2 linked regions of the Notamacropus eugenii genome follow. The protein of the gene in region 1 interacts with the protein of each later gene in a pairwise test. Links are inferred from orthologs where the notes say so. Each region holds a gene or a part of one and is shown on either strand. Other genes may lie near its edges.

Evidence for each region.
Region 2: the proteins of RAB11FIP2 (region 1) and RAB11B interact in binary tests that used the Homo sapiens proteins (3 or more experiments, as listed by UniProt). The link is inferred for Notamacropus eugenii from reciprocal best matches to the Homo sapiens genes RAB11FIP2 and RAB11B.

The regions. Positions count from the first base shown.
Region 1 is NC_092872.1:197,810,294-197,817,761, forward strand, and holds the start of RAB11FIP2 (rab11 family-interacting protein 2), read right to left. Parts: upstream 3,923-7,468; 5' UTR 1,623-3,922; coding exon 1,270-1,622; intron 1-1,269. UniProt on the Homo sapiens protein: A Rab11 effector binding preferentially phosphatidylinositol 3,4,5-trisphosphate (PtdInsP3) and phosphatidic acid (PA) and acting in the regulation of the transport of vesicles from the endosomal recycling compartment (ERC) to the plasma membrane.
Region 2 is NC_092875.1:52,175,116-52,182,583, forward strand, and holds the start of RAB11B (ras-related protein Rab-11B), read right to left. Parts: upstream 4,396-7,468; 5' UTR 4,230-4,395; coding exon 4,190-4,229; intron 1-4,189. Other genes in the region: ANGPTL4 (angiopoietin-related protein 4), read right to left, coding at 7,456-7,468. UniProt on the Homo sapiens protein: The small GTPases Rab are key regulators of intracellular membrane trafficking, from the formation of transport vesicles to their fusion with membranes.

The sequences.
Region 1 (7,468 bases):
AAGGTAACACTGACTATTTACTTATACTTAGGTAAAAAGTTGCATTAGGAAGTAACTGCCTACTTCTGGAAGGACTTTGCTTCATTTTGTTATTTTGTGTTGGGGTTTTGACTGATCTTCTTATTGTTAATTTTAAAAACAGGTTTCATGACTCAATACCCATATTAAGAAGGCCCTGTTTCCAATGAAGATGTTATTAAGCTGCTTCATCATAAAAACTGAATCAGTACTTCTAATCTTGAAGCACTTAATATGGTCCAAGTACATTAGCTTTGTGGAAGTCATTTTCAAGTAATATGCTGGCATGGATAGAATGAAAATATAAAAGAAAAGTTGTTAAAACAGTCAAGGTCAGAAATGAGACAAGTTTGTAAAGTGGAAATTCTAGACTTCCAAATGCTTTAAAACATACCAAGTAAGTTGTCTTGAGAAGGAGCAACAGTTGAAAGAGAAATAATGAAGACCTATTGTGCATGTAATCCCAAAATGTGAATAAGAAGTTCCAAGCTTTCTAAATTTAACTGTAATTATTAAAAACACTGCAGTGATGTCCTTGATATATTTAATATTAATAATATTATATCTTATACATATGTTATAACATAATTAAATTAATAATTAATATAAACACTGCACTAATGTGCTTGATAAAAGTTAATGTTAACTATTAGAATATTTTATATATAACATAATAATTATATTTAATATTATAAACACTGCACTAACGTGCTTGATAAAGTTAATGTTAAATATTAGCATTATATTTTACACATAATAATATAACATAATAATTATAATATTTAACATTATAAACACTGCACTAACGTGCTTGATAAAGTTAATGTTAAATATTAGTATATTTTATACATAATATAACACAATAATTATAATATTTAACATTATAAACACGTGCTTGATATATTTTTCCAGAGGCCACTAACCTTTCTAACTACCCCATTTCTTTCACTGACCAATTTTCAACATTATCATTACATACTTACCTAGCTTTAAAAGCTTAAAAGTGACTGCTTCTCACAAGTCACCTTAACCACAGCCCAAACAACTTCCTGTATTGAAAGTCATTACCAAAACCAAAGACTCGTAATGAATGCTCATTTTAAAGTGTAACCGAAATGACAGAACGGAGCCTCCAAGGCCTTCATTCACGTGACTGGGGGGGGGGGTCACACTTCACCCCCTCCAACACAAAGTGCTTTGTTTACACCATGAGAAGTATCTTAAGACCAGGAAAGGCCCGGCACGACTTACTCTGTTTTCCTCCTCCGCTTGTCCTCAAAGACGTCATTGAGGCTGATGGCCACCTGCCCCAAGAACTTATCCAGCCCCACCAGAGACCGGTGCATGACCACCAGGTGCAAGACGCACTTCTCGGGGCCGCCCTGCACCAGCAGCCCGGGCAGCTCGAAGGAAGCCTCCTCCTTCCAGACGGGCTCCAGGGTCTTCTCCGCCACGGAGGTGGAGTACTTCTCCTTGCCCAGCTGGATGATGGTGTACGTGTCATTGGTGCCACTTTTGCCTTTGGGCTTCAGATCTTTGGCTTGAAGCACGGTGACCTGCACGTGGGTGGGAAACCACTTCTGGGCTTGCTCGGACAACATCATTTTGTCTTTTATTTTGGGGGGGTCCCCGGGACGGCACGGAGGGAGACGCGAGCAGAGGTACAAATAACCGGAGTTCCCCGAGCCTCAGTCTCCGAGGAGGAGGGCACTCGCTCTCACGAGGAGCTCCAAGTTGCCCGATTTCTATTTACTTCCTGTCCGAAAAAAATAGCCCGCGTGCCTCGGGGTCCGACGAAGCGGCTGCCCCCCAGGCCCCCGCCCGCCGCCGCCGCCGCCTCTGGGGCCTGGCCAGGGGCTGGCATCCCCGGGCCGGCCCGGGGTCCGCCGCTCGCCCCTCGGCTACCCCCCCCCCACGAAGCTGGGAGGGATCAGGTTTTGGGGGGTAGTCGGGGCTCCCTATCGGCCCGGCCTCGGGAGCAGGGGAGGCCCGCTCGGGGCACCTGGCGCCCGGAGGGGCGGGGCGGGGCGCGGCGGGGAAGGGGAGCTCGCCGTGGGGCTCCCGGGGCTAGGTCTCCCTCCTCGGGCCAGGGCCGCCCCCGCCCGCCGCACCTGCTCGGGCCCCCGCCCCCGCCTCGCTCCCAGCTGGCGCTCAGGCGGGCCCGGGCCCCCAGCCCCCGGCTAATACGAACCCCCGGAGGCTCGGGCTCGGGCGGCTCCCCTGTCCCTCTTTCTCTCTCTCCTCCTCCTCCTCCTGCCCTCCTCTCGCCTGCTGCTCCTCCTCCTCCTCCTCTCCTCAGGAGCAGGGGCTGCCGAGCCGCGGCCCTCGCTTCTCGGTCACTTAAGGGGCTGGGCCGGTACGGACGCCGGCGGGACGTGAGAACAGGCCGGGGCTAAGGGGTCTTTTCAGGGCCCGGTAGCGCCCTTGGGCGGGCGAGCGGCCGGCGGCTGGGGCGACACTTCCGGTCTGGGCTTCTCCATGTTGGAACGTGACGGGGGGAGGGCGCGGCGACGGGGAGGTCAGGGGTCAAGCGCCTCCCTGGTTGCCATGGTATCCGTAGGCCGCCCAGGCCCGAGGCATGACTTTGAGGTGGGGAAGGTGGAAAAAGCAAGCAGCCTCTCTTTGGAATCCTAGAGTGGAGGGGATCTAAAAGACCATTTGGCCTGAAGGGTTTTTTTGTACAGATGGGGAAACTGAGGCCCCCCGGAGGCCCAAAGTTCGCCGTGCCCGGAGGCAGCTCCGACACCACGTGCTGCCGTAGGGCCCCATAGCCCCGCCCTTCACTGATACTGAATAGGAAACTGACATCCGAAGATAAGCACCTGACCTAGGGCACAGAGCTGGCTACGGTGGAACCAGGGCTACAGTCAAGGCAACCAGCATTTATTAAGCACCAACGGTGTGTCAGACGCTTTACTAAGCACTGGAGATATCTCAAAGAAAGGAAAAAAAACAACAGCCCCTGCTCTCAAGGAGCTCAGACTACTGGGGGGAAACTGCATGTCAACAACTGTACCAGGCATACAAGTCAGCACACCCGTTTTTCCCCACCAGCCTCCTAAGCAATGCATGCTGTCTTCCTCCACATTTTTTTTCACTAGATTGATCTACGAGGAAAGATTCTCTCAACGTTGGAGGCTCAGAGGAGAGCAAAAGATTAGACAATTCAACTCAGAAAACGTTAGTGTCTCACTTTGTAGAATGCATTGTGGGATACAAAGACAAAAATAAATTTTTTTGTAACTATTCCTTCCTCCAAGAAACTTACATTCTACCCGCATGAAACAGCATGGGCTCAAGTAAGCACAAATATGTATGAAGTAAATCCAAAGATTTCCAAACTTCCCACATCAAACCAACTACCTATAGAGAGAGATTGCCAAGCCCATTTCCCCTCCTCTCAGGAAGACAAAATGCGCACCCTAACAACAAGTATTTGTTGATCTAAATTGGCAAAAAGGATGGGTGATAAGACTTGAAGTTCAAATAATCCTGGTTGCCTATCTACTTGAAGCTCATAGTCTAATATTGACCTTATCAGGATTTTACTCCCAACTTTCCTGTATAATCTTAACTGGATTAAATGGAGTCAGAAGATGTAGATTCAAATTCTGATTGTGTTACTAACCTCTGTGACTTTGGAGAAATTACTTCATCTCCATAGACCTGGACTTTCCTAGTCAGTAAGAGAAAGGTATGACCAGATAACATCTAAATCTTACATACTAAACTACTCTCTAGTGATGGGATTTCAAGGTGGGCATTGTGGAAGACCCAGAGAGAGACAAATAAGACCTGGCCGGGATGATTTTAGGCATACATGAGTGACTGCCTGCTTTTCTTTTGTTTAGGATTAGGCCTCAGTAGAGGGAGTGTAGGAGTCTGGGTTTGGAAGTAGCTTGACCTAGCAGAAACAGCCTACTTTGTCACTCCCTTCAAGGAGCTTCCATTCTAATGGGGAGAGGGAGACCAAGTTGCTTGGAGGTGGGGAGCTGGGGAGTATGGTAATGATAATCCTGAGTACAACAAAAGTGTCTTTTTCTTCCCTACTAGACTGAAAGCTCCATAATTACAAGATGTGTGTCATATATCTTTGTGTCTCAGAGCATCTCGTTTGGATGTCATAAGCAATAAATATTTGTGAGTCCTTAGCTAACTCACACTTTGAAAACTTCATAGCTTAAGGTTTTATTCCTATGTTCAGGGAATATTCAAAGGCTCTCCATCTGACAACTTTTTTATGTCCTCAGATAAAATAATTTTAAATGACCCTTCCCTTTCCTTCCTTTCCAATAGCACCATGTTCACAGGCCCCTTCTATAGAACTGAATTGAACTGTAAGAAGCAAAGGGAAGTTGGGGGCATGTTAATTACATGAAATGTTTTATGTTTGCAAGTATGTGAAGTATATTTAGTGGAAAATACTTGAAGAGAGAGAAAATTATCCCTTTTATCACGGAAAAGAAGAGATGCTGTACTTACTTTGAGGAATAGCACGACAGAGATAAAAGACTATATACCAGGGACCTTGCCCATATCTTCCAGTCTTTCAAAGCTGTTGGGAGGTGAAGAATTTTGAGAACAGATTTCCCTCAAAGGTGTAGGGCATATCTACTATTTCTTTAGCACCCCTTACACACGGTACTTTTCTTGGTATTTTATATATAGTGGGAACTATGTCTTATTAAAGACTAGAAGGCAAATCAGTTTGTTGAGGTTATCAAACACCAGAGACCCACAACATAATCCCAGACTAAAGATAACTCAGAACAAAAGAACTGCGTTTTAAGTCATCCCCAAAGGTTTTACCTTAATGAATTAAAAAAAGAGGGAGAATATAATGCATTCAAGTAAGACAACATATTGTTGTTTCAAAGGTGGAACTTGGGGGTTACACGTGGAAAGTCAAATCAATACAAAGATCAATAATGTGAATTATAAGCACAAATCTGTTATCTGTGTCCTAGAGTGGGCAATTGTCAGTTATAAAGAAGTTGATTCCTAGAAATTTTTAAAAAGACCAGTGCAATGGTAGAATTTGTTTAAAAAAAAAAACCAGTTTGATAGCTAAAATCTGAAAACATCTTGTGAAGTTTTATTTTAATGAAAATTGCATAAACCTAAGTTGCATTCGTAAAAAATAATCTTTCAAGTAACTGTTAAGTGTTTTTTAATCGTAATAATGCATCAATAAAGAACAGTAATAATATCAAATGTTTCTGAAACAAACTGCTAGATAAACTTTATAAAATTATTATAAATATGTTTACAAATATATCACTTCACCCATCTTTGAAATAATGTATAGTCATATCTAGGGTCTAAGTTAGAAGCTGTTAAATGTAATAAATAACAAACTGAACACAATTTTATGCTGATGACAAAGGTGAGAGAACAGCCAGTCCTTTGAGTGAATTTCTGAGTGCTTTTCCCATATCACCTAAATTCCCTTTAAGGCTTTCCAAGTATTGACCAGAAGAAAAGCTACTTGAAATTGTCATTTTGTCAGATTCAGACCTTGACTCTAGACCCTGCAGGCCAATTAACAGCTTTTATTAAACACCTGCTGTGTCAGGAAATGTGCTCAGTGTCAGATAAACAAGACAAGATTGCATGTTCCTTGGTCTCAAGGAACTTACACTCCAATAAAGCTAATTAGACATATATACAGATAAATATGTTACAATTAACTACGAAAGAAGAATAAAAAGTACTAGGAAAGTTGTTCCTCCTTCATTCTGGAAGAGGACATCAGGAAGGTAGTGCTTTCACTTGCTTGCGAATTGAATTTAAGTGAGGCAGAGTTGCACAAAGTCACCAGCCTTGTTCTCTCCTCCAGAGTCATCAAAGTCCAGTGGCAAGACAGAAGTCAAGACAACTTTTGCTGGCCTTCAATAAGTACTTTTCCTTGGCTATCAAAGTTAGATGAGGAAGGAATCACTTCTTGATGGAAAGTTCAGGAAAGAGCTTCATGAAGGTAGTAGTATCTAAGCTTCTGCCTTGAAGAATGGCTTGAACATTGGCAGACTGAGATAGGAGAAAGGATCTCCCCAACAGGGAATAACACAGAGGGAATGTAAAGGGAGGAGACCATAGGAAAATCCAATTTGAGTGGAACGAAGAGTATGAAAAAAATTCTTCCTGATGATTAAGCTATGTAGGAAGGACTGGCTTCAGTACCCAGGTATAGGCAAAATCTGGTTTAGGCCCAAGAAGGATTGCTTGAAAAAAATGTAGCCTTTGTCATTACCTTGAGACTTTGGCCCCTTGAAAGAAATTGGATAAAGGGTGGATACTAGGTTGAGAAAATTGCCAGGGTCTTTCTGTCTAAGGAAAAGGAGAACTATCTTGCCATGAAGTTACAATGAACCCTGTTTAATAAGGGAAAGAAAGGTAGAGACATTACTCCAATGGCTAAAATTCATCCTCAGCTGCATTGAATATTTTGTATTTGCATAAAACCCCTTTCTGATGGTTCTGATAACTGAAGGATGGATGGGGATAGGCAATGCGTATCTTATTAGTCTCATTTTACAGAAGAAGAAATAGATTCTAAGAAGTTAAAAAACCATTATCACACAGTTAGCAAATGCCTGAGGCAGAATTTGGGCTAGGTTTCCTGACTGCAATTCATTATGTTAGTTATTCTTCCATACTCGAGGACACATGAAAAATTGAAAACCATTCTGTGTCACTGATTTTTTTTTCAAAATATTGACCAGACAAGAGCCAAGAAAAGACTCTTTGAGCATACTCCAAGATATCTTCCTCTGAAGCCATAGTAGCTCATTAATAACTATTTTTTGAGACTGGTCATTCAATCTGACTGTACTAATATCTAGCCAATATTTATCTTGTCAAGGATAATATAGAAGACATTCCTAAATTTTTTGTTAAATATAAAGATACTAAATTTGTAGCATTCTTTTGATTTATTAATGTAGATACCTTGTCAAAAAGGAAGATATATTTCTTCAGGTATTACCTGTTCTTATTTATGTCATACTGACTCACCATTTCCTTTTTTAAATGCTTACACACCATCCGTTTAAATAAAAAATTCTACAATTTTGCCAGGTATAAAAGCCAATTTCAAAGATTATACTTTGCGGAATTTTTCTTACTTTTTTTGAAAATTGGTACAACTTCCTATCTAATTCCTCGTTTTTAGGTGGTCTGGTATATACTCCTTTAACTCTTTACTCCCACTGTTGATCTTCACCAAAATGCTTTTTCACTGTGTTTCCCCATCACAGTCCTGGTTTTTTCTTACATAAGCATATCTTCATATTGCATAATGTTACTCTACCACCTTATTTATCTATTCTGTTCCTTTTTGAATAACATATGCCTTTCCAGAGAGATATTCCAACCATGAATCCCATGCCCAAGTCTTAATTTTGTGAGATCAAATTTGTCTCCTTGCAGTAGAATCCCTATTTCACCCTCT
Region 2 (7,468 bases), on another chromosome or scaffold:
ATTTTAATCTAAAAAATCAGATTTGACTTTTAACTGAAATCCAGCCATGAAAAGAGTGTGAGAGTGTGTGTGTGTTCGTCCTTCGTTGCTGAAGAAGACCATGCCATCAGAGAAATAATGACATGACTTGCACTTGACTTTGTTTTGAGTGAGGGAGGGCTGTGCAGGTCACCAGCCTCACTTCTCCAGAGCCATCTGAATCTAGTGGCCAGATATTCATCAGGATGACTGGAGATGACCCAGGATGAGGCCATTGGGGTTAAGTGACTTGCCCAAGGTCACACAGCTAGTGAGTGTCAAGTGTCTGAAGTGAAATTTGAACTCAGGTCCTCCAGACTCCTGCACTGGTGCTCTATCCACTGCACCACCTAGCTGCCCTTCATTTAAAGAGTAGTGAGACTACACAACAGAAGAAAAACAAAGTCAGATAATTCAGAAAAACTATAACCGAGTAGCACCTGACCAAGAGGAGACTCTATGTACAAGGTAACAAGAGAGATGGTCTGGACTTCTTCTGGTAATATCCCCACCTTACCTGCTCTCGCCTGTCAAGAACTTAAAAAAAACAACACCAACTTGTTTTTCATTTCCAGATATGCTATCAAAAGATGATTTCTGTCATATTGTTGTTTTCTAATCTAGTTTAAAAAAAAAGTCAATTTGTATATCATTTAAGAGGCTTTTATAATCTCCTTTGATCCTTGTAATAACCATGCCAAATAGTCTAAATGTTATTATGCCTATTTTACAGTTGGGGAAATTTAGGCTCAAAGGTTAAATAACTTGCCAGACAACTCTCACACCCAAGAGTTTAACCCTAACCTTTTATTCCACTGCTTTCCACAGCACACTTAAGAAAAATGCAAATAGATCTATTTTTGAAGCACAAAGGGAAGATGTTTAATGACATCCAAACCATCACTGCCCCTCTCATTGAGATTTGAACTTCAGAGCTATCTCCATTTTGCTTCTCCTGCTTGGTGCCCTGAAGAGCCCAGGCCCAACTCTCCACCCCACTCCCTAGCAGCCCAGCTCAAACCCTCATGGTCATCCTTCGATTGCCCCCACATCTGCTCCACTGCCAAAGCTTCTCATTACTACCTTTACAATGTCTTCCCTATCTGCTCCCTTCTTTACTTACACAGTCACAACCCTATTTCAAGTCTTTATCATCTCTCACCTGGACTATTCCAACAGCCTTCTATCTGGTCCCTTTACCTCAAGTTCCTCCCCACTCTAATATATCCTCCACTCAGCTACAAAGGTTATAAAGTCCTCTGCTTGGCATTTATATTTGTTCACAACCTGGTATAAGTGCTATCTTCTTATACTTTACTCTCCTCCAAGCATCCTAAAATCCAGCTACACTAGCCTATTTGCACTTAATCAAATATGACTCCCTGTCCTTTTCTACTGGCTAGCAGCCATGCCTGTAATGCTCTGTTCTCCCCCTTCGGCCTCTTAGTTTCCAGGGCTTCCTCCAATATTCGGCTCAAACCCTGCCACCTTCTGCAGACCTTTCCTGGTTCCCTTAGCTGTCTTCCCATCTCACATTACCTACCATCTACCATGCAGATATATTGAACATGCCTCTGTTATACACATGTTGTCTCCCACATTAAAATACCCTCAACGGCAGGAGCTGCTTTAGCCTTTCTTTGTATCCTTTAGAGCCAGGAACATAGTAAGTGCTTAAAATATGCTTGTTAGGCTACTTTGTTGACTAAAAGGTATACTACATTACTTTTCATCTCTGACAACTGTTCGTGACATAATGAACATACTCCTTTTGGGTGGAAGAGGGCAGAAGACTTGAATAACTGGGATCCATGAAAGCCAAAGGACACACAGAAGGAAGGCTGAAGGCAGTGGAAGTGTAAACCCTATAACTCAGGAGACAGCAATCTTTGGGCACGGGCTCAAATAAACACCAGGTACCTGAAATCAGTGCTGAGCAGAGCAGGGCTTGTTTTGTAGCAGCTCACATACAGGGTGTTTCAAAAGTCTTAGTGCAATTTTAAACTAGCAAAGCCTAATACTTTTGGACATCCTGTATACTAAATGCATGGAAACACATATTGAGGATCTCATTTACTATTATACAGGAGTCTAAAAGTGTGTGATCAAATTCTTTTTACAAACTTATTTTTAAATCATTGTAACTGAGAAAATTTGGGGGGACTCAAGATTAATTTCTTTTCTAAAATGTTATATTTGAACTCAGGCATGTATAGATTAAGAGATTCTTATAAATAAATGTCTTTAGAAAATAAATATTTAAGTAACTGACATTTCAGTACTATGAGACAGAAGGATTTCCTGAGCAGTGCTTCTTAGGTCAGCTGTGAAAAATGAGCCCTTTCCATTTGGGGTCTCTAGGAGTTTTAGTAATAAGAGTGTGTTGGAAAAATAGAGTGATGATGAGGTGGACAGCAGAGGAGATATAACTAAAGCAGAGGAGCAGAGGCCAGGAGGATTTGTAGTTCAGACAGAGCACAGTGAACAAGGACTTGGAATACACTAATATAGCGGTCAGCCAGTCCTAGGCACAAGAAGAAAAAGAGATCACATCCTTGATTTAACTTAAAGAGTCTCAGATGAAAGAAAAACCAAGGAACAAGTATTTTGAAGAGCCAACAGTCCAAGGTACCAGACCCAGGGATAAGAAAAATAGACATTTTTCATGTCTACCTAGTACCTCTTTGCTGGAACCCTTGGGCACTTCCAGGCTAGCCTGTTGGCTACTCAATGGTAAGAATTTTAGAAGGTCTAATGCCTAGCCCTCTGGCTTCAGAAAAGAAAGCTTGCCCAATTCCTGATCAGTCAGATCAGTCAGAATCAGCACCTCATCTCCAGGTCAAGGAGTTCTGAGTATGTCTGAGAAGTAAAGGTAGTGAGGGAAGGATCCCAGTTAATCTAGGGATCCCCCACTCTAATGCCCTGGATTCTTTTGCCTCAGAGAAGTTTGTCTTTTATCTAGAGTACAAGGCTGCTCAGACATCCCTCTCCAGGAGTAAAGTCCTGTATAGCAACACCGGCTAAGTCCCATTACAAGCTCCCCCTACATAAATCACTCCACATATCTTTTATCCTCAGTCCTAATGCTCTCTTTCCATCCTGTGAACCTTAGTTCTCTCTGCCTTTCCCATATCTGACACAATCACTCCTCTTAAATGAGTTCCTCCTGCATTCAACCTGCCTGGCCTCAATCTTCACTCCTCTTTTCTCTCCATACTCCATTCAAATCTCTACTACACTTTCCCCATCTCCCTCCCTTCCTCTCTGCAAGCTCCCTGTCTCTCTCCATTCTCTAATTTTTCTCCCCCTCCCCCCATTTTCCTTCCAAGATATCCTCTATTGCCTTCCCTCCTGGTCCTGCTCCCCAGTATCTCCTCCCGACTCCCTTTCTCCTTTCGGCGGTCTTAAGAATCTTGTCCAGTGACCCCAACCCATTTGTTTTTCCTCCTCGGTCTCCCCAGCGCTTAGCACAGTGTCTTTCACCTCGCAGGGGCTTAACTGGCCTCGGCAGCCAGGCTGGAGTCAAGTCAACGAGAGGTGCCCGGCTCGAGCCCCTGCCTAGTCTCCGGGGTGTCTTCCCAGCCAGCTCCCCAGAGTCGCCTTCCTGAACATCTCGCGCAGCTTTTCTCTACCCCCTGGTCTTCTTTCCTTCTTCCTCCTCCTCGAGTCCTAGGATCCCTCCAACCCGGGCGACCCCGACCCACACTATTTTCTGCTCCTAGGTCCCCGCCCCCTTTCTTCCCGGGCTCCCTCCCGAGTTCCAGGACCATCACTACGGTTCCCAGCCAGCTGTCAGTACCTACCGCGCCCGGCCCCCCTCCCCCTTTCAGCAGTCACCAACCCCCTCCCCACTAAGTGCAACCTACCCCTCCCCCACCTTCTAGCCAGGGCCCCGCAACCCCCTTGTTCAGTAACACCGACGGCTCTGTGCAGCCGCCCCCTCCGGGCCCGACACCCTCTCCGGGCCCGACACCCCGTGTCAGCTCCCCTTCGTCCTCGCCCCCGGTCCAGGCCTCGGCTCCGGTTCCGACGCCCCCGCTAGGGCCCGCGGAGGTCCCTTTCCAGCCCGGCGGAGCGCGACGCCGGGACTGAGGCCGCCAGCAGGGAGGGGGCCGCACTCCCCGAAGGGTCCGCTCTCTCACTCAGCCCTCCCCGCCTCAGCGCCGGGCACCTTTGAACAGGTAGTCGTACTCGTCGTCCCGGGTCCCCATTGTCTCGGCTCTTCCGGCGGGATCGGGCCCGTCTCCGCAGCCCCACCACAAACACCCGACTGGGGGGCGGAGCCCGACCGGCCGCCGAACGACAGTTCCACCGGCCTATCGGCCGCGGGGCGGGGGCGCGACTGACACCGTGGTTACCCTATCAGAACTAGCGACCAGTGTGGGACCAACCCACTGCTTCCACCTACCGCGGGCCTGAAACCGACGGAAGGGGAGGGGAGGGGCTTCCTGAAGTGACAGTGATATTAACCTATAGGAGACGGACACAAGAGACGGGAGGCAGAGTCGAGAAACAGAAGGAAATTGATGTTCCGCTAAGCCAATGAAAGGCAGAGAGAGAAAAGTTTACGGGAGGAAAGGGGCGTAGGCCACGGGGAAGGGCTGGGATTGGAAGGGGCGGAGCCTGAAAAAGGAAATGACCTATTAGGCCTGAGGACTGAAAAGGGAGTAACGTTGCCGTGACGTCACGCGCGCGGCACAGCTCCTTCCTCTAGAGTACTTTGGCGTCATTAATTCAGGGAAACAAAAAGGACTGAACTGACGGGTGCCCCAGTTGCAGACCACCACCTCCGAGGCTCTGTGGCTACCGTGCCGCTGACCACCCATCCCTCCACTGCTCAGCACCCCCTCGGAGACCCTCCTACTGCCCGCCACCCCCGAGTCTCACTAGCCCCCCGATGACCCCCTCCTAGACCACCGCATCACTTCACTGCCGAAGGTCACCCCGCTGCTGAACGTCACCCCGGAGACCCAAGGGTCACCCCACCCCATCGCACCATCCCAGAAGCCCACTCATCACCCCAGACACCCTACCTACAAATCACCCAGCACTCCGAAGCTGACCATCATCTATCCTTGCCTGGTCACTCCCCCACTGACTACCACCTCTCACATTCACCAGCACCCCACTGCTCACTGCCACCTCACCTAATTGCCTGTCCACCCCAATCTGACCCCATCTCAGACCCACTGGTCATCCAGCCCCTAGCCACTGTCTTGCCCAGTCATGCCCCCTTGATCTCAAGAGACATATCTGCCAAGTATATTAGGTTGCCCTCAGTAGCAGGCATAACCTGGTTAAGAATCTGGTGGGGCAGAGAGGTGTCTCAGTGAGATAGAGATCAAGTCCACACATGGTACAACCATAATACAAATTAGATGACAGAGGAAGCGTGGCAGTGATGAAAGGAGTAGAATTGAAGTCAGACGACCTGCCTCAGTCATATATTATCTGTGTACCCTCCAGCAAGCCACTTGTCCTCTTCCTCTCTGGGCCTCAGTTTCTTCATCTGTAAAATGAGGGTTTGGACTGCAAAGGTCCTGTCCAACTTCATTAAGTCTCTGACCCTGTTATTATTAAAAAAAAAAAAAATGAAACCTAAAACAATCATGCTGCTACTGCAGAGAACTGCCTGGTCACCATTTGCCATTAATACAGACAGGCTCCACTCAAACCTGGCATGGGCAGACAGGTTGTTCAGTGCATAGAGAGCTAGACCTGGAGTATGGAAGACCTGAGTTCTAATATAGCCTGACACCGATGAGTTGTGTGTTTCTGGGCAAGTCATTTAGTCTGCCTGCCTCAGTTTTCTTTTATAAACTAGAGATAATAGTCCCTACCTTCCAGGGTTCTCACAAGAACAAAAATGAGATATTTGCAAAGCATCTTTCAAAAAGCTTGCCTAAAATTTTATTGTCTCCTACCTCTCGAAAACCACAAAAAGAGGAATCAGATAAGCAGTAGCCTCCCAGGTAAGCCTAGTCACTGCCTATACCGTCTGTTTGGGTGAGAGCCTAGGTCCCAAGTCTTTAGGTAGATTAGTACACCATGAAGGAGGTTAAAAAGGAAGCAAGACCTACATTCTTTAAAACAGTGAGTCTGAAGTGGTTAACAGCAGGGTCTCCAGACAAATATGTAAGATGGTAGTAAGGAGGAATGGGTGCAGGGAGAACAGGCTGACCTTCCCTTATGATGTTTTCTGAGACTGAGGGGACTATAGCTCACTTAATCCTGGTTAACATGGGTTATCTTTTCCTTCCCTGTTTCTCTTTCAGTTGTTGACTTGCATAATATAGTGAATATTCACACATAAAGCACAGTGCCAAGAACATATTAATCAAGGCCGGTTGATTGATTTCTTAAAAACTTAAATGCATTCAAAGAATACAGTGAGACAAATGGCCTCCAAGTCAAGCTATACGAGGACTGGTTGAAGGATCTGGGGATATTTTGACTGGAGAACATTTGGGTGGGTGGGGTTGTGTAAAGAGGAAAGACATAACTTGAAACACCATGATGTAGAAAACAGTGTTCTGCATGGCCTTCCATAGGAGGCAAATTTCACCTTGATGTAAAGAACCTCCTCACTAGCAGAGCTGTGCAAAAACAGGCCTTTTAGGGATGAAGTGGTGAATTCTTCATCCCTAAACATCTGCAAGTGAATGCTTCTGGAGATCACATTAGTGATTCCTGTTTGGACTGGATGAATTGATGACCCTTCCAATCTTGAGATTCTTTCATTCCTTTTATTACAAACAAATCTGAGGAGGCCTGGTAATCCCAGCCAGACTCTAAAACCCAAAAGATAGTGAATTTTTTTACAAGGCAATTATTTACAAATTACCCTGACCCCTCATAAGACCCCAGGGCAGGGCTTCAAAATAGCGATGCTCTGAGGTAGGTCACCATTCTAGATCCCCCAGTTCTTGGTCCTGTGATCCTAGTCCAGTCAATATGACTGAAGACAGCTAGGCAAGACTCCTAGTCAGTCATGAGCCCAGAAGCTGGGCTTCTTCCCCTCTAGTCCCCAGGGTTAGGCAACCCAGCCCCTCCCATTCACTTGTGCTTATAAAACTCTTCTGTGTAACAGGGTGGATGGGGAGAGGGAAAGCCCTTGCCTATTAGTATGTTGGTACCATAGGTTTACCCTTAAGAGGGCAACAGATTAAAGAAGGGCAAGAAATGAGTAAACACTGTCTCTTCAAGATGGAAGGGCTAGATTCCAAGGCTGGGCCTGGATCCTCTCTTATTCCTCTCTCGGTGAAGTACCTTTTTCAGTCCTGACCCTGGCCCAAGCATATGTCCAGGGAGACTATTGTCACCATGGGTGCTGGGAAAAGAGAGGGTGAGAAAGTTCTCTTTTTGCATTTATGTTGAGTCTTTGACCCATTGAACTCTGGCTCTTTTCTTTAGCCCTGCAAGGCTCTCAGAACAAGGCTAAGAGCTGGCA